Rattus norvegicus: one gene and its partners. The protein of the gene in region 3 interacts with the protein of the main gene of each other region in a pairwise test. Links are inferred from orthologs where the notes say so. Each region holds a gene or a part of one and is shown on either strand. Other genes may lie near its edges.

Region 1 (6,691 bases), on a different chromosome or scaffold from region 3:
ACAGAGTGGCTAAAGAGTAAGAGTGGCTCTTTACTGATTAGGAACAGCCAGACATACAATCATATCTGTGACATACGATAGTTTAAAGGCATCACATAACGGTTCAAATAAACAGACACATGGGCCGGCAGGGCAAGCTGGCTCAGCTGGCCGGTCAGTGTTTGCCATCAAGCCTGTTGGCCTAAGTTGATTCTCCAGGACTCATGTGACTAGAAATAAAGAACTGACTCTCAGATATCGTCCCCAGTCCTCCATTCAAGGGCTGTGGTTTGCCAGGGAAGGGAGGGTTAGGTATATCCCCAGAACTGCAAAGTGAGGGAGAAGTCTCAAGGGAGAGGGGAAGGGAGAAATCACTGGGCCAGGAAATTCCAGAAAATTAGAATTACCGTTCTTGGAACAACCCTACCCACCCTCCATCTTGTCCAAGACTGTTCTCTCGCCTTCTTTTCCCCACCCTCTTCATCCTTGGTATTTGAAATACGTATGTGCTATGAGGTGCACAGATGCTAACAGATGTTAACATGTCTAAGTCAAGCTGAAACTCATTTAGGGAAGTTCAATAGATTCCAGCTGAGACAAAGCCACCGGTGCAGCCAGGAAAGGTGCAGCTGCTAAGCCTGATGACCCGGGTTCAATTCCGAGGACCCACATGGCGGAAAGAGATTGATTCCAAGCTGTTCTCTTTAGCGCACATATGCCCCATCTGCTTCCAAACTAAACACAATTTGTAAAAATCTCTCAAGCTAAAAAAAAAAAAAAAAAGGGCTGGAGATATGGCTCAAAGTTAAGAGCACTGACTGCTCTTCCAGAGTCCTGAGTTCAATTCCCAGCAACCACATGGTGGCTCACAAACACTTGTAATAGGATCTGATGCCCTCTTCTGGTGTGTCTGAAGACAGCTACAGTGTACTTATATAATAAATAAATCTTTTAAAAAAAAAGTGCATGTCTTAGGTGTATTTCTGTGTTCAGAGAAACTGGCGGCTGAACTACTTAGCAGTTTGGATTCTATATCAAAATTCTATCATAAGCCAGGCATGGTGGTGCACCCCTTTGAACCAGCATTCCGGAGGCAGATCAGCGAACGGTCTGGCCTGTGTACTCTGTTCCAGGTCACCTAGGGCTACATACTGAGACCCTGACTCAAAGCAAACGAAAATCTATCTTAGCACCAAACAGGTGGCTTGAAGGACACACCTGTAGCGTTGTTTCGGGGTTTGTCAATGAGAGGCACGGAGTGGGAAGTCACCCACCTGGGCTGCAGAGCTGGCTCAGTATTTAAGAGCTCTTCTGGTCTCTGTGGGCAACTGCATTCATGTACACCACACACACACACACACACACACACACACACACACACACACACACACACACGATTATAAATAAAAATAAATGGAGGTGGTGAGATGGATCAGCAGTTAACAACAGTACTTGGTGCTCTCGGGGAAGATCTGGGTTCCGTTCCCAGCAACTACATGGTAGCTTGCAACCCCTCTGAAACCCCAGTTCCAGGGAACCCAATGCCCTCCTCTTCTGGCCTCCCCAGGCACTGCATGCACGTGGCACACAGACATACATGCAGACAAAATACCCATACACATAAAATATGAATTACTAACTGCCCTACCTAGTGGTCTCCCCATGAACGAAGGAAGCCATCCGTCCCCAAACACTCAGTGCTGACCACCCCATGACAGAAAGGCATCATCACCATTTCAACACTCAGCAGAAACCAGTGCCACGCTAAGGTTTACCAGGTCTCATTCTGATATTTTATTACGTTGACAGGCTAGGAATACTGGGATAAATAAGTAACGTTCTCTCTTACAGAAAACTGTAATATACTACTGAGTCGGATTGAACACTGAGGATTTCACAGAAACATCAGAATTTTAACAGTAGCCAGAGCCCTGGTGGCCAGTGGGAGGGACCTCCCAGCTGAAATACTCTGGACCGCATCTCAAAATAGCTTCAAGACAAAAGCGCAGTTAACATCCCACAGTGCAGACACCTTCCTTGCCCCACTCCTGGCTTCAAATACCAGTCTCCACGGGCTGTGGTTTTTGGTGGGAAGGAAGGGAAAACGGAGAATCCTTGGCTCTTCCTGCCCTGTCACTGAGTGTGGAGTCCTACGCCCTTTGAAAGCGGGACTTTGTGCCTTCGTTCTGTGACATTGTAACAGTTTGTAGCCAAGGACAGCTGCTGTGCCCGGGTTCTTCCTCAGCAGTGGGTACAGGGGAAGGAGGCATCAGTCCTCGGTCAGCACAGAGTAGCACAGCTGGTCATCAGCCAGTTTACATGGCCACCCAAACACTTTTGGGGGATATTGTCCACAGTGGCAGACCCCCAAACTCTCGGAAATCAGGTCTGATGAAACTCCCGGAAAAAAATCACGCCAATGTTGTGCAAGACAAACATCTAAATAGCACAACACCAGGCTCAGAAATGAATGCCCTATGCACAGTCAGTCTAGGACAGAACAGCATAGTTTCTAGAAAGCATACCCTGGCCATTGGACAACTTCAATGATGAATGTTCTCACTCCATCTTCCCTAGGAGGGATGTTGTCAGCCGCAGTGGAGGACGTGGTCCCACCCCACCTGTCAAGGTAGACACTTCTGCCTGCATCCCATTAGTGCGATCCTGCTTTGCATGGGACCCCAGCCTGGGGCCAGCTAGGTCATCTGAGAATGGCCGGGATGGTAAGGCCTAAATCCTGGAGCCGGTGAGACAAAGGATGCTCCTGCCTGCTCCACGGTTCACTCGGGGACAGAGTGGGACAACGCAGTAGTCACCGCAGGCCCTCCTGACCCAACAGCTCGTGGCTGCTGAGATTCTAGAAGTGCACAGGAAGCCAGTTTTCCAATGGCTTCAGGGTTTGGGGTGGAAAAGGAGGATTCAGTAAGGACTCCCCAATTGCCCCCATGCCACCTCTGCTTAGCTCTGCAATGTTCCTTCTTTTATCTGTTGGATAAAAAGGTTCCTCTCGTCTTCCGGCGTCCGCCCGTTCTGAGCCCGGACGATACACGTGGGCCGGTGCAGGTTGAGCATGTAAATCAGATGCTGCTTCTCATTCTTCAGCTCCTCGATCTGGGCCTTCAGTTCGGCATTCACACTCTCCAGTTTCTCTGACTCCTGAGGGATGATCAACAGACAGCAGCATTATGGAGGGAGCCAAGGGGCAGGGAGATGGGGGGCCACCTGGAATCCTTGGGGCTCCCCAGACTGAGACCTGCTAGCAGAACCGTCCTACCACAAGGATGGGAGGACCAAACTAGGTGGAAGGTGGAAGGTACAGGGTTTCCTGTAGAGGGCTCTGAAGTTGGGAGACGTGAAAGAAAGCTTAGGGACAGCACCGAGCCGGGCGCCCATGCTCGATGGAACTGCACCAAGGGCTCAGAGAGAGCTGCTCTAGTTCACTGCCCGTGGGGAAGGCATCTGGGCCCCACAGGATCGTGGGAGCTATCGAGGAACCCAAACGGGTGGTGTGGAGTTGTCTTTGAATTTCTGATCTCACCAAGACTCCCATGTCCACAGACGTATTCTCAGAAACACCAAAGCTGCCCAAGTTTTTTTTCACTGACCCTGAAGTAGCGAGCAGACAACCCAGGCTTTTACATCTCTTTGAGAAGCTGCCCTGCACACACTTGGGAGAGCAGACATGGCCCCTGCAAAGACTTCCAGGCTCTGTAGCTTGCCTTGCCTGTGAACCCATGCTGTACCCCTGGTGCTTGGTGTGGGGTGTCAGCCTCCCAGGGTGCTCAGTGCTGGATAAGCATGGAGTAGAGAGGAGGGTTCAGATCCAGGGAGGAGCACTGTAAGCACCACTTCAGCACCGTAACTTGAAGAGATTAATGCAAGCTTTTCCTGAGAGCCAAAGGCAGTGGCAGGGCTTTGCAGTTTGTATTTGTTAAAACTGATGAGTAAAGTCTCTTTAAATAGGCTGGTGTGACCCGCAAGTCTAGAAACTGCTGGGGATTTGTGCCACAGCATGCATGTGGAGGTCAGAGGTCACGTTTAGAAACCAGTTCTCTCCTTCCACAGCGGGTTCTGGGTGTCAAACTAGGGTGCCACATATGCATTGCAAGGACCTTTACTCATGAGCCAGCTTGCTGGCCGTGTGTGTGTGTGTGTGTGTGTGTGTGTGTGTGTGTGTATGTGTATGTATATATAAATGGATATATATATACACATATGCCTATACATGTGTGTGTATGTATGTGTACACATATACATCTCCAGAATCGCTTCCACCATGCTTTTTTTTTTTTCCTTCGGAGCTGGGGACCGAACTCAGGGCCTTGTGCTTGCTAGGCAAGCGCTCTACCACTGAGCTAAATCCCCAACACCCCCCTCCCCCCCTGCTTCCACCTTGCTAATAGCTTTGCTCTACCCTCTGCCTACAGCTGGCATTTCCCTCCCCTCAGGGGAGGTTGGGCCAGGCGGGACTCACCTTCTGCAGGCACTCTGTCTTCTCTTTTTTCTTGTTTCGACACTTGGCAGCAGCAATTTTGTTTCTTTCCCGCCGCCTCCTTTTTCTCTCATCTTCTTCAGGGGCCACCTATAAAATCCGAAAGGCACACATTTAAATACCAAGGCTGTGGGGTCTTGTGTGCTGTGGGGTCTTGTGTGTCTGTATATCTGCTGTCTGTGTATATATCTGCCACGTGCATTCATGGTGATTTCAGAGACCAGAAGTCAGTGTTGGATCATCAGCAGCTGCTGTGAGCCACCCATTGCACATGCTGGGAGCTCCAGTCCCCTGGAAGAGCGGGAAGTGCTCTTAACCACGGCGCCATCTCTCCGGCCTCGGGCCTGAGGGTTTTGTATGATCTCCCGTCACACGCATGTGCATTCACACATGTGAGTAACAAAATCTAAGTCCTGTTCAGTAAAATGGAATTATATTTGAAATTAGTAAATTAAAGTCTGCTTTAAAGACACAAGACCTGCCTTTAAAATGCATTTGCACTTTGAAACAAGAATTTGAATTTTAAATTAATAACCACTGAATTAATTAACCACTGAAGCTAGAATCAGAAATGACCACATTGCCCCTTAGCCACACTCTCCTGAGAGCGGTGCTGTTTGAGGAGGTTGTGGAACCTTTGGGGTGGGAAACATGACTGACAAGGGTGGATTGTGGCATAAAATGGGTGTTGGAGGGTTTGAACTCCAAGCCTACTTTATCTATCTGAGCTTTGCTTCTTGAGCTAAAAAGATGTATACAGGCCCTCACCACCGGGCATAAGCCCTTACCTGAGCACCAGCCCTCACCACTGGACACAAGCCCTCACCACTGAGCACCAGCCCTCACCACTGGACACAAGCCCTCACCACTGGACACAAACCCTCACCACTGACACAAGCCCTCCATCAAGCACCAGCCCTCACCACTGAGCACCAGCCCTCACCACTGGACACAAGCCCTCACCACTGGACACAAACCCTCACCACTGACACAAGCCCTCACCACTGAGCACAAGCCCTCACCACTGGACACAAACCCTCACCACTGACACAAGCCCTCACCACTGAGCACAAGCCCTCACCACTGGACACAAACCCTCACCACTGACACAAGCCCTCACCACTGACACAAGCCCTCCATCAATCACCAGCCCTCACCACTGAGCACCAGCCCTCACCACTGGACACGAGCCCTCACCACTGGGCATGGAGCCACTCTGGCTGCTCTGTCTTCCCTGCAGGATGGATTGTATCTCCTCAACTGTGTGAGCCAAAACAAACCTCTTCCAGTGGCTTCTGTCAACCATTTGACCACAGTTACAGAAAAATTACATCTGTGTTTTTACCAGGAGCATCATGGTACGCCCTTCCCATGAGGCCAGTGAGCTCCTGGAGAAGAGGGACTTGAGAACATTATTAGTAGCAAATGGTATGAATAAGCCCACAGCTGGATGCTACTGGTGGGTAGAGTCCTGAACCACCCATTGATTCAGCCAACACATCATACTGACTTCCTGTGCCGCCTCCTGAGTCACAGAAGTCTGGGGCACTCAGAGGACAGAGCCATGTTCAACTTTGGGGACTATGCTCCTCCATGGATGTTCACTCTGATCCTGACCGTCTATGGACCAATGTGCAGTGAGCTCACCCAGCCATGTACTCTGCTAAAGTACATCTGGGATGAACCTTCCTGAGGTCTGCCCAGTGTCAGACCCTGCCAGCTTTGGGATGCCATGACTGACCCACTCCTGACCTTTTCCCATGCTTTTGAATCAGAAGACACGATGGACTGAGATGGAGGTCTTACAATCTAGGGAGGCAAAGCCCAAAGAATCTAACCCTGAATTTCTATCCTTCATGCCTCAGGGCCACAGTCCCAGAAAAATATAAAAATCATACACACACACACACACACACACACACACACACACACACACACACACAGAGACACACACATAGACACAAACACATACAGAGATACACAGACACACACACATACAGACACAGATACAGACACACAGATATGACACAGACACACACAGAGATACATATAAAGACATACAGACACACATACATACAGAGACACAGATACACACAGAGATATACACACACACAGACACACATATATACAGAGACACACTCACTCACACAAACTCCCTACTACTGTATCTTATTTCAAACTATATCATTAGAAGAAAAAAATATCTCCCAGAATGTCCCA
Region 2 (6,383 bases), on a different chromosome or scaffold from region 3:
CAAGACAGCCTCAGACAGCTATTTCCAGAGTTCCAGAGCCACATCTGCCCCGACAGGTGCTAGCACATCTGGATCCTGTTATCTGTCTGCAGATGAGGAAAAGAGGCGCAGACTGGTAGTTATCTAGCCCAGGACTAGTAAGTGCTCCCAGACAGTCAGGGTTTACTCACAGCTCCAGGCCCAGGAGGCTGGCCATGTCTCCACAGGGTTGGACCCTACAGAGCACAGCTAATGGGTACAGAGCTACAGGGATCATCCCTTAAGAACACTGTAATAAACACATAGTCAAAAAGCTCACCAAAAAACCCCAAGCAGAGGCTAGGTACCGGTTTGAATCCGTAAGTCATCTGAGGCCTGAGGCGTCAGGTAGGTTGGGCGTCCTCCTTACAGGTGATGAGCGAGTGGGGCTAGGGAGACCAGAGAGTCTGGGCAGTTCACTTTCAACTCCCCCCCTTAATAAGCAAGTAGATTTAATCAATTAGAGAGGAAAACCTTTTGGCTGGGAAGATACTGAGGTGCTAAAGGCCCTTGTTGCAGTAAGAAGCCAAGTTTGAACCTCCTCGCCCTGCAGCATCTTCCTAGACCAGGAAAGGGTCACCATCTGGCTTCTGGTGGAGTCTAGGTACCCTGACAATGTCCTCTGACCTGCTCCAGAGGGCAGTGAGTGGCCTCTGCTCATCCCTGCCTCCCCAGGTACCTGGTTCTGCAGCTGGGTGGTTGTGGCTTGCCGGTCACTGTCATGGAGGGCCAGCCTCTCCCGAAGGACTACCAGCTCCTCCTGAAGCTGGGACATGGCCTCCACGGTCCTATGTACCACGGGGTCTGGGCCTGGTGACCCGGACAGGCTTGAGCACCTCCCGATGCCAAGGAGCCGCCCACCTACAAGCAAAGTAGTGGCTGATCAGCAGGACAGTGGAGGTCTGCCTGGAGGAGGAAGGCAGCCATCACAACAAGCGCACCATTGGGGCTAGGGTGAGGACTGAAGAATACAGCAAAATGGGTTTGCAGAGGACCTCCGGGTTGTCCTCTGGGGAAGTCACTTTAGCAAAAGTTTCTAGAGGACAGAACTGACTAAACCAAGACTTAAGAAAATAATTTTTCCTGAGTCCCCTCAAAGTAGGAAATTTGGCCTGCACTCAGGCGATTTCCTGGGAAAGAATAGAGGCTTACTCAGAAGTGGCTCTCCATGCTCATTCTCGATCTCTCAAAAGCACAGCAGAGGGCTGGAGAGATGGCTCAGTGGTTAAGAGCACCCGACTGCTCTTCCAGAGGTCCTGAGTTCAATTCCCAGCAACCACATGGTGGCTCACAACCATCTGTAAAGAGATCCAATGCCCTCTTCTGGTGTATCTGAAGACAGCTACAGTGTACTTATATATAATAAAATGAATAAATCTTTAAAAAAAAAAAAAAAAGCACAGCAGAGAGGACCAGGCTTTGTCTGCCAGCTGTTCTGTGGGACGTGGTCCCTGTGAGTGTGGAGGAGGGGTAAGGGGATGTGTGCAAGCAACAGATCAGGGCACAGATGGGCCAGCACGTGGAACAGACAAGGAGTTAAGCACATTCTCAGGATGGTGCCTGTATGCAGGCACAAGAGAAAGACAAATACCAAGTCAGGCGAGGCCTCAGCCCGACTCCTCCCCCAACACCTTTTACTGTTCTGTCATCGAGATGAGAGACAGGCTGTGATGTGTAATGGGGCTGTGGTGCTTGTTCCAAAGCTCTGAAGAGGAGAACAGCCTGGCCTGTGTAATGCAGAACCAATAGCGGTCCAGGAGGACAAGAAAAGAATTTGCCTCCTCCCCTCAGCATCCCAAGTCGGGGCCCTGCAAAGATTCTGGGCATGCAGAAGTCCAGTGCTAGCTGGTGAGCCTTCTACTTCAATGCTGCCTTAGCTTCTGGCTTCCTCAGAGATGAGGGGCCTCCCTGTGTCTCACCCCCACCACTAGCAAGCCTTGACCACAGTTCTGCAAAGCCCCAGGGCAGTATAGGGAAATGGGAGGGAGCAGCTGAAGCTAGGCTCCCATGGGTGGGGCTGGTGTCCTCTCCCCCCACCCCCGAGATCTGGGGCTGGACAACCCGTGCTAGGCAAGTGGCCCCAGCTGTGTGGCCCTGCATGTGACACAGCATGAAAGTCACACAGTGCAGGTCCAGCCTCTGTGATCTATTCTAGAGGGAGTAAGGGCAGCCCGATGCTTCTAGGCCAGCACACGGGGCTGCCACGGGTGACATGTGACCAGTAAGGCCACAGACTGCATCGGTGCGCGACCGAATGTGCTGGGCTGAGAGCTGGTCTTGCCTCTTGAATCACATGGGAGGGACCCTGCAGGCTCTTCCTGTGTGAAACAGGGACAATGCACCTAGCCCAAAAGCAGCCATGGGAAAATAGCTGGAGTCCCATTGGAAACACAGGTATGAGTGTCATCCATGACACCGCTCCTGTCCTGGGAGGCTCTGAGCCCCAGACCACAGCATGGTACCCTGTGTAAGAGGGCCAGGAGTTGAGTGGAAGCTGCAGAGTCATGGGTAGTGGAAGAGACACTCTTGAAGAAGCTAAGGGAGGACTGAGCTAAGGGAAGAAGGGAGGAGAGGTGAGGCCCAAGGGTGCTTGAGCAGGACAAGCCCCTGCTGAGGAAGCTACCACCTGACAGGTCAGTTTCTAGAGGCATGGACCACGACAGGGCCCAGAGCTCAGGTGCTATGCCTGAGCTAGGAGGACCTAGCCTTCCTTCCTCTGGGCTTACCCCACCTAGCTGGCCAGATGGTAGCCATTTTGAAAACCTGACTGCCCATTGCTTACACACCCTATGCCTGCCCTGAATCTAGATGGACCAGGGCTTGTACACAACAGGCACTGGTTCAGATTCAGAGGAGGGAGGGACCTCCTCCAGCAACCCCAGCAAGTTCAGACACACAGACTCTGAGAAAACAGCACCTCTCCCCAGTACTCCTGGCCTTGCCCCGAGGCTCCCTAAGATGTTCTCTCCCTGTGTTCACTGGCCAGTACTTTCTGCTGAAAACCCAGAAGACAGCAAAGGAACCTGGAGAACCTTTGAAAACCAGTTAGTTCTAGGTGCCCTAGTGGTCAGGGGATAATGGAACTGCAGGCTTAGTTTTCTCTGCCTGGAGGGAGGGAAACGAGTCCCTGACCTCTGGATCCTCTGACCGGAACAGAGCCAGGCCTTTGCTGAAGGAACTGGTGGCGTCTGCGAGGCTGCTCCTGGGCCCTGCTTTAGGTAGGTACTGGGAAAAGACAAAAAGAAGGGAAATCCAACCCAACCTCCACTGGCCAAAGTCTTATCACTGGGTGGGGCCCTGGTGGCCCTGGGACAAGGGGCAGGACAAGAAAGAGGACAGACACATGGCTGTCCATGGATCTGGACGAGGCTGGTCGGAGTCTCAGGTTCATGTCAGGTGGCCAGCCTGGCTGAGCCACTTCCAGCTGTGGGACAGAGTTCTCCCTCCTGCACTCGCTCAGCCAGAGCGTGTCAGACAGTGGGGCTGACCTCCTTTACCTGGTTTTTCTACATTCATGGTACCACCAGCTTCTGGGGCCTCCCGGTCCCGCCTGGGGGCCGGCGCCTGCCTCTTCGGGAGTCTGTCTTCTTTCGTCCCCTGACTCTTGCTCTCGCACCCCTTGTCCTGCAGGGCCTGCTGCCAAGACACAACCAGAATCCTCTCGTGAAGGGACTGCACTGAGGAGAGACCCTTGCCCTGGGGTTGTGAGCACTCTGGTCCCAGGGCCCAAGCACTGTCTTCACCAAGGAGGTGTGGACAAAGAGTCTTGCCTGGAAACCGGAGAAGTCAGACTAACATCCTACAGAAAGATGACAGTAATTTATTCTTGGGTGCCACCACAGTCAGTCTCCACACCGGTAAAAGGGGTTCTAAGAACCTACGTCCCCTAGATAAAGTCTGTGCTATCCCTTCAGGCTCCAGGGGGCAGCAACATGTGAGCAGCATTCTCCTAACGAGCCTTAATGCAGGTGGCTGTCTTGTCCTGCCTACACACGGCAGTCTTAGGGCCACTCCCCCATAGTGTCATAGTGTCGCCTGCTGTGACACCTTGGTAGACAGCTTCCCACCTAAGGATGGCACTCCCAGAACCAGGAGGCTACACACGAGTCCATCTGACCAGGAGAACGGCCACTCTGCTTCTTGCATGCTGTGTCCCATGGGGCTATCCAGGGGCAATGCGACCCCATGTCCTGGTCAAGGGACTGAGGCAAAGGTGGCTGGGCTGGGGCAGGTGAGTGGAGGGGTAAAGTGGGGCACTTCATTTGGAGAAAGACGCCAAGCAAGGGTCCAGACGGTGTGGGGAACGTGAACCCATTTAAGGGTAATAATACACAAGACAGATGAAAGGTGAACTGGGAGCTCACAGGCAGCGGGGTCTGTGTGTGCGCTTGGTGTGGGGCTGTGCGCACACAGAGACCCACGGACACGGAAACAAGAGCAACTTAAACCTGGGGGATCGAGATAAACGTCACAGCCGCAGAGGAGGATCTGATCAGGAAGGGCTCCAGGTCGTTCTGGACCCATCTGAGGCTCGACTGTTTTACCTTAAAGACACGGCTTTGCTGTGCTTGTGTTCACAGGGCATCTGGGAAAATGCCTTTCTGTCTCAAGCCAAGTGTCAATCTTGTTCTATTTTATTTACAGGGCCTCATGCTGTAGCCCTGACTGGTCTGGAAGCTGCAGAGATCTGTCTGCCTCTGCCTTGTCACCACTGGAACTAAAGGCTTGTGACAACATCCCAGGGCCAGGCGCCACACCTTTTCTTTAATGCTTGGTACAGGGAGGGTAAAGCACAGAGACAGCATGTCATCTGTGTGCTGTGTGGCTGTAGACAAACTCTGCTCCCTCTCTGAAGCTGTTTCCCTCCCTTCTCAGTCTAATCAATCTCTGCCCTCTAGTGCCAGTGGGCAAACCAAAGGCAACACCAAGCAAGGCATGCTTCAAGTGCCTTAAAGAGGCACGGATAGCTACCATCAGTTTATACTTTCTCTGACCTACACTCTAACTTTGAGCATCAAAAGGCCAATCAAAAGAATTGCAAGGGCTGGAGGGATGGCTCAGTGGTTAAGAGCACTGACTGCTCTTCCAGAGGTCCTGAGTTCAATTCCCAGCACCCACATGATGGCTCACAACCATCTGTAATGGGATCCGATGACCTCTTCTGGTGTGACTGAAGGCAGTGACAGAGTACTCACATAGATAAAGTAAATCTTTTAGAAAAAGAATCGCAAGAGTGAAAATCGGCCCAGCAGGTGCCTAGTCAGCCACATCCTCAGCCTCTTCCTCCCTCCATCTCTTGTATTTAGGACATTTCTCCTCAGCTTAATTCTGTCCCCGCCCTTCAACCAACTGCTACACTATCTCCTGCAGGCTGGGGGAGGTCGGGGTGGCAGGGATGGCGACAGTTGGAAGTTTCCATTTGCCTTCAGGCAGGAGCAAAGGTTACTATTTCTGGGCTGCTGGCTGAAGCACAGAAAGGGGGCTGGGAATTTCTGCAGCGTCCTGGAGGTACCACTCGGTCTTTAGTGGCTGGAACAAGGCTGGACTGACTGAGTCTGTGACCTACAGGTCCTGCCCCTGTGCTTGGAGCACACTTCGGCACACGTCCGTCCGTACCCATAAGGCAGAGCTCTGCAGGGCCGGAAGGACATGAACTTGGAAGCTGGTCACTAACGGCTTCTGAATGGAGCGTCAGTAGAACTGCTGAGCCCAGGCCTCCGTAGCAGCCACAGCCCAATACCCCATAATCAAAGCTCAAGAACAGGGCCACCACCCATCTGAGCTGCAGCTCATGACCACAGCCTCCCGATTTAACTTCCCTCTGGTTTCCTTAACTGTTGTCTTACCAGACCCACTCTCCTGGAAGACTTCACTAAAGAAACAAGTATGGTCAGTTCAGTCCTCAGAAGAATCTCACAAGAACCAAGAGACATGTTGAAACATAGGCTGTCCCTTAAACACCATCATCCCTGGGGTCCTGCCGAGAGCAGCAGCCCTGGACTGTATCCATCTGCTGGAAAGAGGATGGCTCAAAGGTGTGCGTTTCCCCCAGCACCCATCCTGCTAACCACCGGCACTTGCCTTTACTCCTGGCTCTTGGAAAAGGCAGGATGTGTGTGAGTGTGTGTGTGTGTGTGTGTGTGTGTGTGTGTGAATCAGAAGCTGGTTTATTCCTAAACCCACAGCACGTGGGAACAGGAGTATCCTGGCTCTTGGAAAAGGCAGGATGAGTGTGTGTGTGTGTGTGTGTGTGTGTGTGTGTGTGTGTGTGTGTGTGTATCAGAAGCTGGTTTATTCCTAAACCCACAGCACGTGGGAACAGGAGTATCTGGTGTGAGCTCCACATCACCTAGACTACAGAGGGA
Region 3 (6,383 bases):
ATGCATGGCATGTGATGGTCAGAGGACAACTTGTAGGTACCAATTCTCTCCTTATGCTGTGTAGGTCCGAGGTGTCGAGCTCAGGTTTTCAGGCTTGGTGGTAAGCACCTATCTACCATGCTCTTTCACTTTTCCTGAACTTGATTATTTTAAATCTGTATGAGACATTAAGGTATTAAATTTTATATAATTTAATGGAAGATTATAGGTTTTATATATAAAAACCTGTGTGAATACTTTAGGAAAATTCCATCTTCATAATTATTTTTATTAAACAATGGATATTAAAGGAGAGAACAACTTATTTAGAAAAAGTGTTATTTGAAGATAAGAAAAATGTATACAGCTGAACCAGGATATCCAAGAGTGAGTAATTATTACTCCAGTATATATTTGATATTAACAATGACTGGTACTTCCTTAAGTACATTAGTAACTTGGGGTTCCTGGGCTATAGTTAAGTATTGAGTTGAGTTACATTATGATGTGTTCTTCATCACCTTTTCACTTGAAAAATACATAAAATGAGCAAATTTATATATGAGCAGTTTGTCTACACATAAAAAGACAGTGACAGTGTCCTTTTTAAATATTCTTATAAAATCATAACATGAATAGATTTCTGTCATGAGAATATAGTCATTTACCCCTGACAGGGATATAGCTTCTAAAAAAAAAGGTAAGGTAGTTTCAGTAAGCAGTCTCATCATTCTTTCCAAAGCAGAGTATGTCTACACAAATGTAGACAGTATAGCCTAATGTAACTTAGTATATTACAGGCTGTCATTCCCAGATTATACTGTACTACTTGATACTACTATATGGACCATGTAGGTAGTTACAGCATACTGGTATTTAAACATAGAGAAGGCACAATTGAAAATGCAGACTGGGAGGATGGTTCAGTAAGTAAAAATTGCTTCATAAGCCTGACAACTTGAGTTTCGATTTCCCAGAACCCACATAAGAACCAGATGCAGTAGCACTAGTGCCTGTAGACCCTTCATACCCTTAAGGAGAGATAAGAGGAGGAGGTAGGAAAATCTCCAGAAACTCATAGACCTGACCCTAGCTTACACAGTGGCAAAGAAATTTTGTGTCAAACAAGATACAAAGGTGAAGTCACACCCAAAGGTTGTCCTCTGGCCTTTATGTGTTCATGCCTGCATCCCCACACACAAACATGTACACATACAGGTATACTCATATCACAGACATACACGTATACACCAGAGAGAGAGAGTGGAATTTACACTGCTGGATTAAGTGAAATAGTATAAAGTGAATGTGAAAACCTGAGACATCACTTTATACTGTAGGCTATACAAACATATGTAGACTACACTAAATATCTTTTTAATTCTTTCAATAGCAGATTAACCTGGATTACTATAACTTTAATAAAGTTCCTCATTTTTTTAACTTTTTGCCTAATAACATTCATTGTGAATCACAAATAGATTGTATAGGAATACAATATTAATACGTTATTTATATCCTTATTCTATACTACTCCTCCCCCAGTACTGAGAATTGAAATTCTAGCGGGTACCCAACCACTGAGCTATATTCTCAACCCCTAACTTAGAATTCTTGGAAGCTAAGCATTAGATATCCCCAAATCACAGTTTTTATGGTTATTCTTCATTATTATCTTGGTATATTTAATTACTCTCTTCTTTCTTAACATATGGTCATTTCCACATTTATTATAGTTATTAAGGATCCTGAGAACAGTCTTATTTCCCTGCAGAGCATTCCTTTCCCTTTATATTTTCCAGTTTTCATTCTTTGTGGCTTGTGTATCATCTTCTAGGGGTGCTGCTTCTGCATTCCTTAGTCGTTAGTTCCTTTTAGGTAGTTCATAGTTTCACTGCGCTGAGAAAATCAGTTCAGGACCTCCTCTGTTCTCATTTTCTTTTTAGGGAATTCCATCAAGACTTGTAATTTTAGAAACTATATATTGGTAATTCCAAATTTCTAATAGTCAAGGTATCTCTCCTGATTGCTGAACACTGTTTCTCTGTTGGCATCTCCTTAGCTTTGTCTAGGGAACATCTGAGTATTTCTGAAACAGAGTTCTTAGTTCTGACCTCATTTTTCTCTGAGAAATTTTCCTCCACCTATACATGGTAGTATGTCCTTGTAATTCCTGCACTAGGAAGGTAGTGTCAGGAGTATTGGAAATTCAAGGCTAGCCTATGCTACTAAAACTTTATGGGCTGTGTAGCAAGGCCTACCCCTCACTCCCAATACCCTTTCTGCACTTTCCCACAAAAAAGAAAGGGAAATCTGCATCTATCTACTTATTTAAGCAAAACATTTAGGTGTCACTTTAATTTTATGTTTTCTACCTGTCTTTGAAACCAGTAGCCGATCTTAGTGTATTCATTTACCAAGCATGTTTTGAATAAGGTTCAAACCTCCTCTGTTCAGTGTCATTGTCCTAGTTGTCATCTTTCACTTGTACCAGTGCTACCCTACTTCCCTTTCCTACTGCAGTGCTGAGAGTGGAATCGAGAACCCCAAACATGTACTCCAGACTACTGAAGGTTCCTCATCCCTTTATTTTTCTTCTAAAACACAGTTTCTTTATGTTTTCCAAGGTAGTTTCATATTATTAATACTCTTGTGACAGTTCCCAAGTTGCTGGGACTGTATAACTTCATGCCAACCATACCAGGCTAAACTTTGTTTCAAACCTGCGAACTTAAAAATTTGAGTCATTCTTCTCTCTACTGAAAGTCTTTTAGTAATTTGCTCTTGACGACAACGACAATGTATATTTATTCATTAGGGAAAACCTCATTGAGTTTTGACTGTCTATCCCTCCATCCTCATTTCATGCTCTCTGTATTGATCAAATACTCTTAAGGTTTTTCCTGCCTAGCATTACTTCCTTCTCTACAGCCTGTCCTCCTCTTGATTCTTTCATATCAGATCAGATTTTTTTTTTTTTTGGCAAGGTTTTATTCCTTCACTATTAAAGCTCTACCTTTCCCTCTGCTAAATCATTTGACTTACTACATTATCGTTGAACGATTAATGTCTACTTTGATAGAAGTTTCTGTAATGGTTTTACTCATTGTCACTCTGCTCTCCAATTGTTGAGTTGGAAGCTTTTAGATGTGCTGAAAACCGTAGTTACAATGCTACCAATTTCTCCTTGGAAGTATCTTAATAAGGCTCCAACTGATAGTAGCTATATAAAGGACAATTCAAAGGGACAGAATAGTTAAGGAGTTCTGAGTAAAGCCCTCATCTCTTTTGTAATCTGTAAAACTAGGAAATATTTTAAGACTCATCCTGGCTGATTCATAAATTCTATTTCTCTTTAGTTTGGGAAGTTGTACCTACTAATTTTATATACTCACGTATCAGTGTTACTTGGTCTTTTAATACTAGAAAATTATTGTTACCAAATGAAAAACTACCTGAGATCAGCAGACTGTTTTGTTTTTTTTTTTTTTTAGTTTAAATGTCTTAAAACATGTCCCTTTGTTTGGTTTGGTTTTTGAGACAGGGTTTCTCTGTTTAGCTCTGGCTGTCCTGGAACTTGCTCTATAGACCAGGCTGGCCTCAAACTCAAGACATCCACCTACCTCTGCCTCCCTGGGATCAAAGGTGTGTGTTACCACCACATCTTGACACATTTCTAAACACCAAATTGTTTGTCATAGCACTACCTTGCTGGATCAGTTTCTTGACTTTGCAATATAATAAACAAATAGGAAAGGAAAATCCCCTTCCAAGTTTTGTTTTTTAATTACCCAGAGTAAATTGTATTTGTATTTCTTACTAAAATTCTCACAAAAACATTGCTAAGTAGCCCAGCCTAATTTATTTTAGAGTGATAAAAAGACATATTGAACAAAACATGTTTTTTTTTAAATTTTTAGAATGGTATTTGAACTTTAGAACTGCTTAGATATTTTCTATTAACATTAGATATTAATTTACTTGTAGAGGCATTACGTGGTTGCTTTCAGAAATGTGTTACATTCTGTTCACTGAGGTACATGAATTAACTTGCGTTTTTAAATACCGCCCTTTATTTATCTTAAAATTAAATAGGAAATACCATTGGCACAAACTGCACAGCCCACATCAGCTATCGTTCGTCCAGCATCATTACAGGTTCCCAATGTGCTGCTCACAAGTTCTGACTCAAGTGTAATTATTCAACAAGCAGTACCTTCACCAACCTCAAGTACTGTAATCACCCAGGCACCATCCTCTAACAGGCCAATTGTGTAAGTGATTCCAGTCAGCCACTGACTGCACGGGAGGTGTTAGGGTTTCTCTTACTATGGTTTTTCCCTAGGATATTTAATTACGTGAATTAAATTGTGCATATGTGTGTGTGTATGAGAGAGAGAGAGAGAGCGCGAGAGAGAGAGAGGGCAAGAGAGAAAGCGCAAGAGAGAGAGAGAGAGCGCAAGAGAGAGAGAGAACGCACGCGCACAAGAGCACCATCTGCCTGTTTTGGGTTTTGAAAACTTTAATATTTTTTAAAAAGTAATATCTGACACATTGGACAATAAATATCTAAATCTTAGCTAAAACAGTGAACATAGACTATAAGTTTAAGATGGTCTTATTTTTATGCCGTTTGACACAAAACAAAGTTACTCATTTCAAGATGACATTTGTCTCAGTTCTTAAAAGTAACTCCAAAGACCTTTCTGATAAGAAATGTTCTCGTTTCACAAATTGGAAATCCATGACTTCTCCCAAGGCTTTTTTTAAACACTCATACATAGATTATGCATTTAAGATGCAATTAAAAATATCTAAGTTTTGGAATTTGCCTTTTGAAGGTTAGAAAACTTATTTTTAAGTAATAGGAGGGAAAAGACTGTTATTTTACAGAGGTGGTTGGTATAGATCTTTACATTTTTCCCTTGTTTTGTTTTTCTTAGTCCTGTACCAGGCCCATTTCCTCTTCTATTACATCTTCCTAATGGACAAACCATGCCCGTTGCTATTCCTGCATCAATTACAAGTTCTAATGTGCATGTTCCAGCTGCAGTCCCAGTAAGTTGGAAAGTTAGACCATTTAAGTCTTTGTGTCAAAATTGGTCTTGGTAAAATATCCAGAAAATATACTTGAACTGCTTGATTGGCTTACTAAATGGAATTTATCAAAATGCTTATTAACGGGGAGTAATATTTATTTATCGATACTATGAGAGTCTAGGCAAACATAATTGGATAGAAAACATTTCTCTACCTCCCTGCCCACACTTGTTTTCTGTTTTCTTTTTGTACTATTTTTTGATTCACCTCACTTCGATTTGACTAGATTTGTGAAATTCAAATATTTCTAATTTTTATTTTAAGGTATTTGTATTTGAACACTTGTCAAATAGCTATGGTGTTTATAGTTATACATGTTCTTTAGAAAAAAACACACTTGTCCTTTGTGGTTACATGAAGTTTATTGAATTTCTTTGATGGCCCAAGCATGTTAAGGTCTAAACATTAATATCTAGGCCTGATGACACATGACAGTAATCCCAATAGTCAATAGGCAGAGATAGGATCAGAAGTTCATACTTAGCCTCTGCTAAATAATAAATTTTTGGCCAGCCTGGGCTACTTTGTTGTAAGAAAAATCCAAAAGAAGTTTTATAAGAAACTCGCTAAATAAACAAATTTTGGAAAAAAAAAGAAAAGGTGATTAACTATATTGAGTTGTCCAGTGAACATTTAAAAACATATTGTTGGAGATGTGTGGTTAAGAGCTTGTACTGTTCTTGTAAAGGACATGAGTTCAGTTCCCAGCACCCATTTTAAATGGCTCACAACTGACTTGCTCCTGCTATAGAGGATCTGACAACTTGGGCCTCCATGAGCACCTGCATACAGTGCATATGCCCACACATAGAGAAACACACGTACACATAATTGAAAAAAACAATTATTTAAAAGCACAGTATTTGAAGTGATGAAAATTTTCTTTTTCATATCATTTTTTACAAAATAGTATTATTCATACTTTCAAATTATTCTTCAACATTTAACATTTTCATTCTGAAAAGCACTTTTAGATATCTAGCAGAGTTGTCCAAAGCATACTATTTTCATTTTCCCCAAATCATTTATGATACAGCATGTTTGAGACTTTCTTAATAATTTCCCATAAAGAATACTTTAAGAGCTGGAGAGATGGCTCAGTGGTTAAGAGCACTGACTGCTCTTCCAGAGGTCCTGAGTTCAATTCCCAGCAACTACATTGTGGCTCACAAACATCTGTAACTGGATCCGATGCCCTCTTCTGCTGTGTCTGAAGACAGCAGTAAATGTACCCACCCACATACATGAAAAAGTAAATAAATCTTTTTTTAAAAAAAGAATAAGTCTTAGTCATTCATATAATG

The links.
Region 1: the proteins of Atf2 (region 3) and Atf3 interact in binary tests that used the Homo sapiens proteins (3 or more experiments, as listed by UniProt). The link is inferred for Rattus norvegicus from reciprocal best matches to the Homo sapiens genes ATF2 and ATF3.
Region 2: the proteins of Atf2 (region 3) and Kifc3 interact in binary tests that used the Homo sapiens proteins (3 or more experiments, as listed by UniProt). The two-hybrid records come from large-scale screens. The link is inferred for Rattus norvegicus from reciprocal best matches to the Homo sapiens genes ATF2 and KIFC3.

Annotation. Positions count from the first base shown.
Region 1 is NC_086031.1:105,280,688-105,287,378, forward strand, and holds the end of Atf3 (cyclic AMP-dependent transcription factor ATF-3), read right to left. Parts: intron 4,562-6,691; coding exon 4,454-4,561; intron 3,136-4,453; coding exon 2,938-3,135; 3' UTR 1,750-2,937; downstream 1-1,749.
Region 2 is NC_086037.1:9,902,642-9,909,024, reverse strand, and holds part of Kifc3 (kinesin-like protein KIFC3), read right to left. Parts: intron 3,655-6,383; coding exon 3,516-3,654; intron 1,372-3,515; exon of another isoform or gene 880-1,371; coding exon 698-879; intron 1-697. UniProt on the Homo sapiens protein: Minus-end microtubule-dependent motor protein. Involved in apically targeted transport. Required for zonula adherens maintenance.
Region 3 is NC_086021.1:79,153,071-79,159,453, reverse strand, and holds part of Atf2 (cyclic AMP-dependent transcription factor ATF-2), read left to right. Parts: intron 1-4,074; coding exon 4,075-4,253; intron 4,254-4,922; coding exon 4,923-5,037; intron 5,038-6,383. UniProt on the Homo sapiens protein: Transcriptional activator which regulates the transcription of various genes, including those involved in anti-apoptosis, cell growth, and DNA damage response.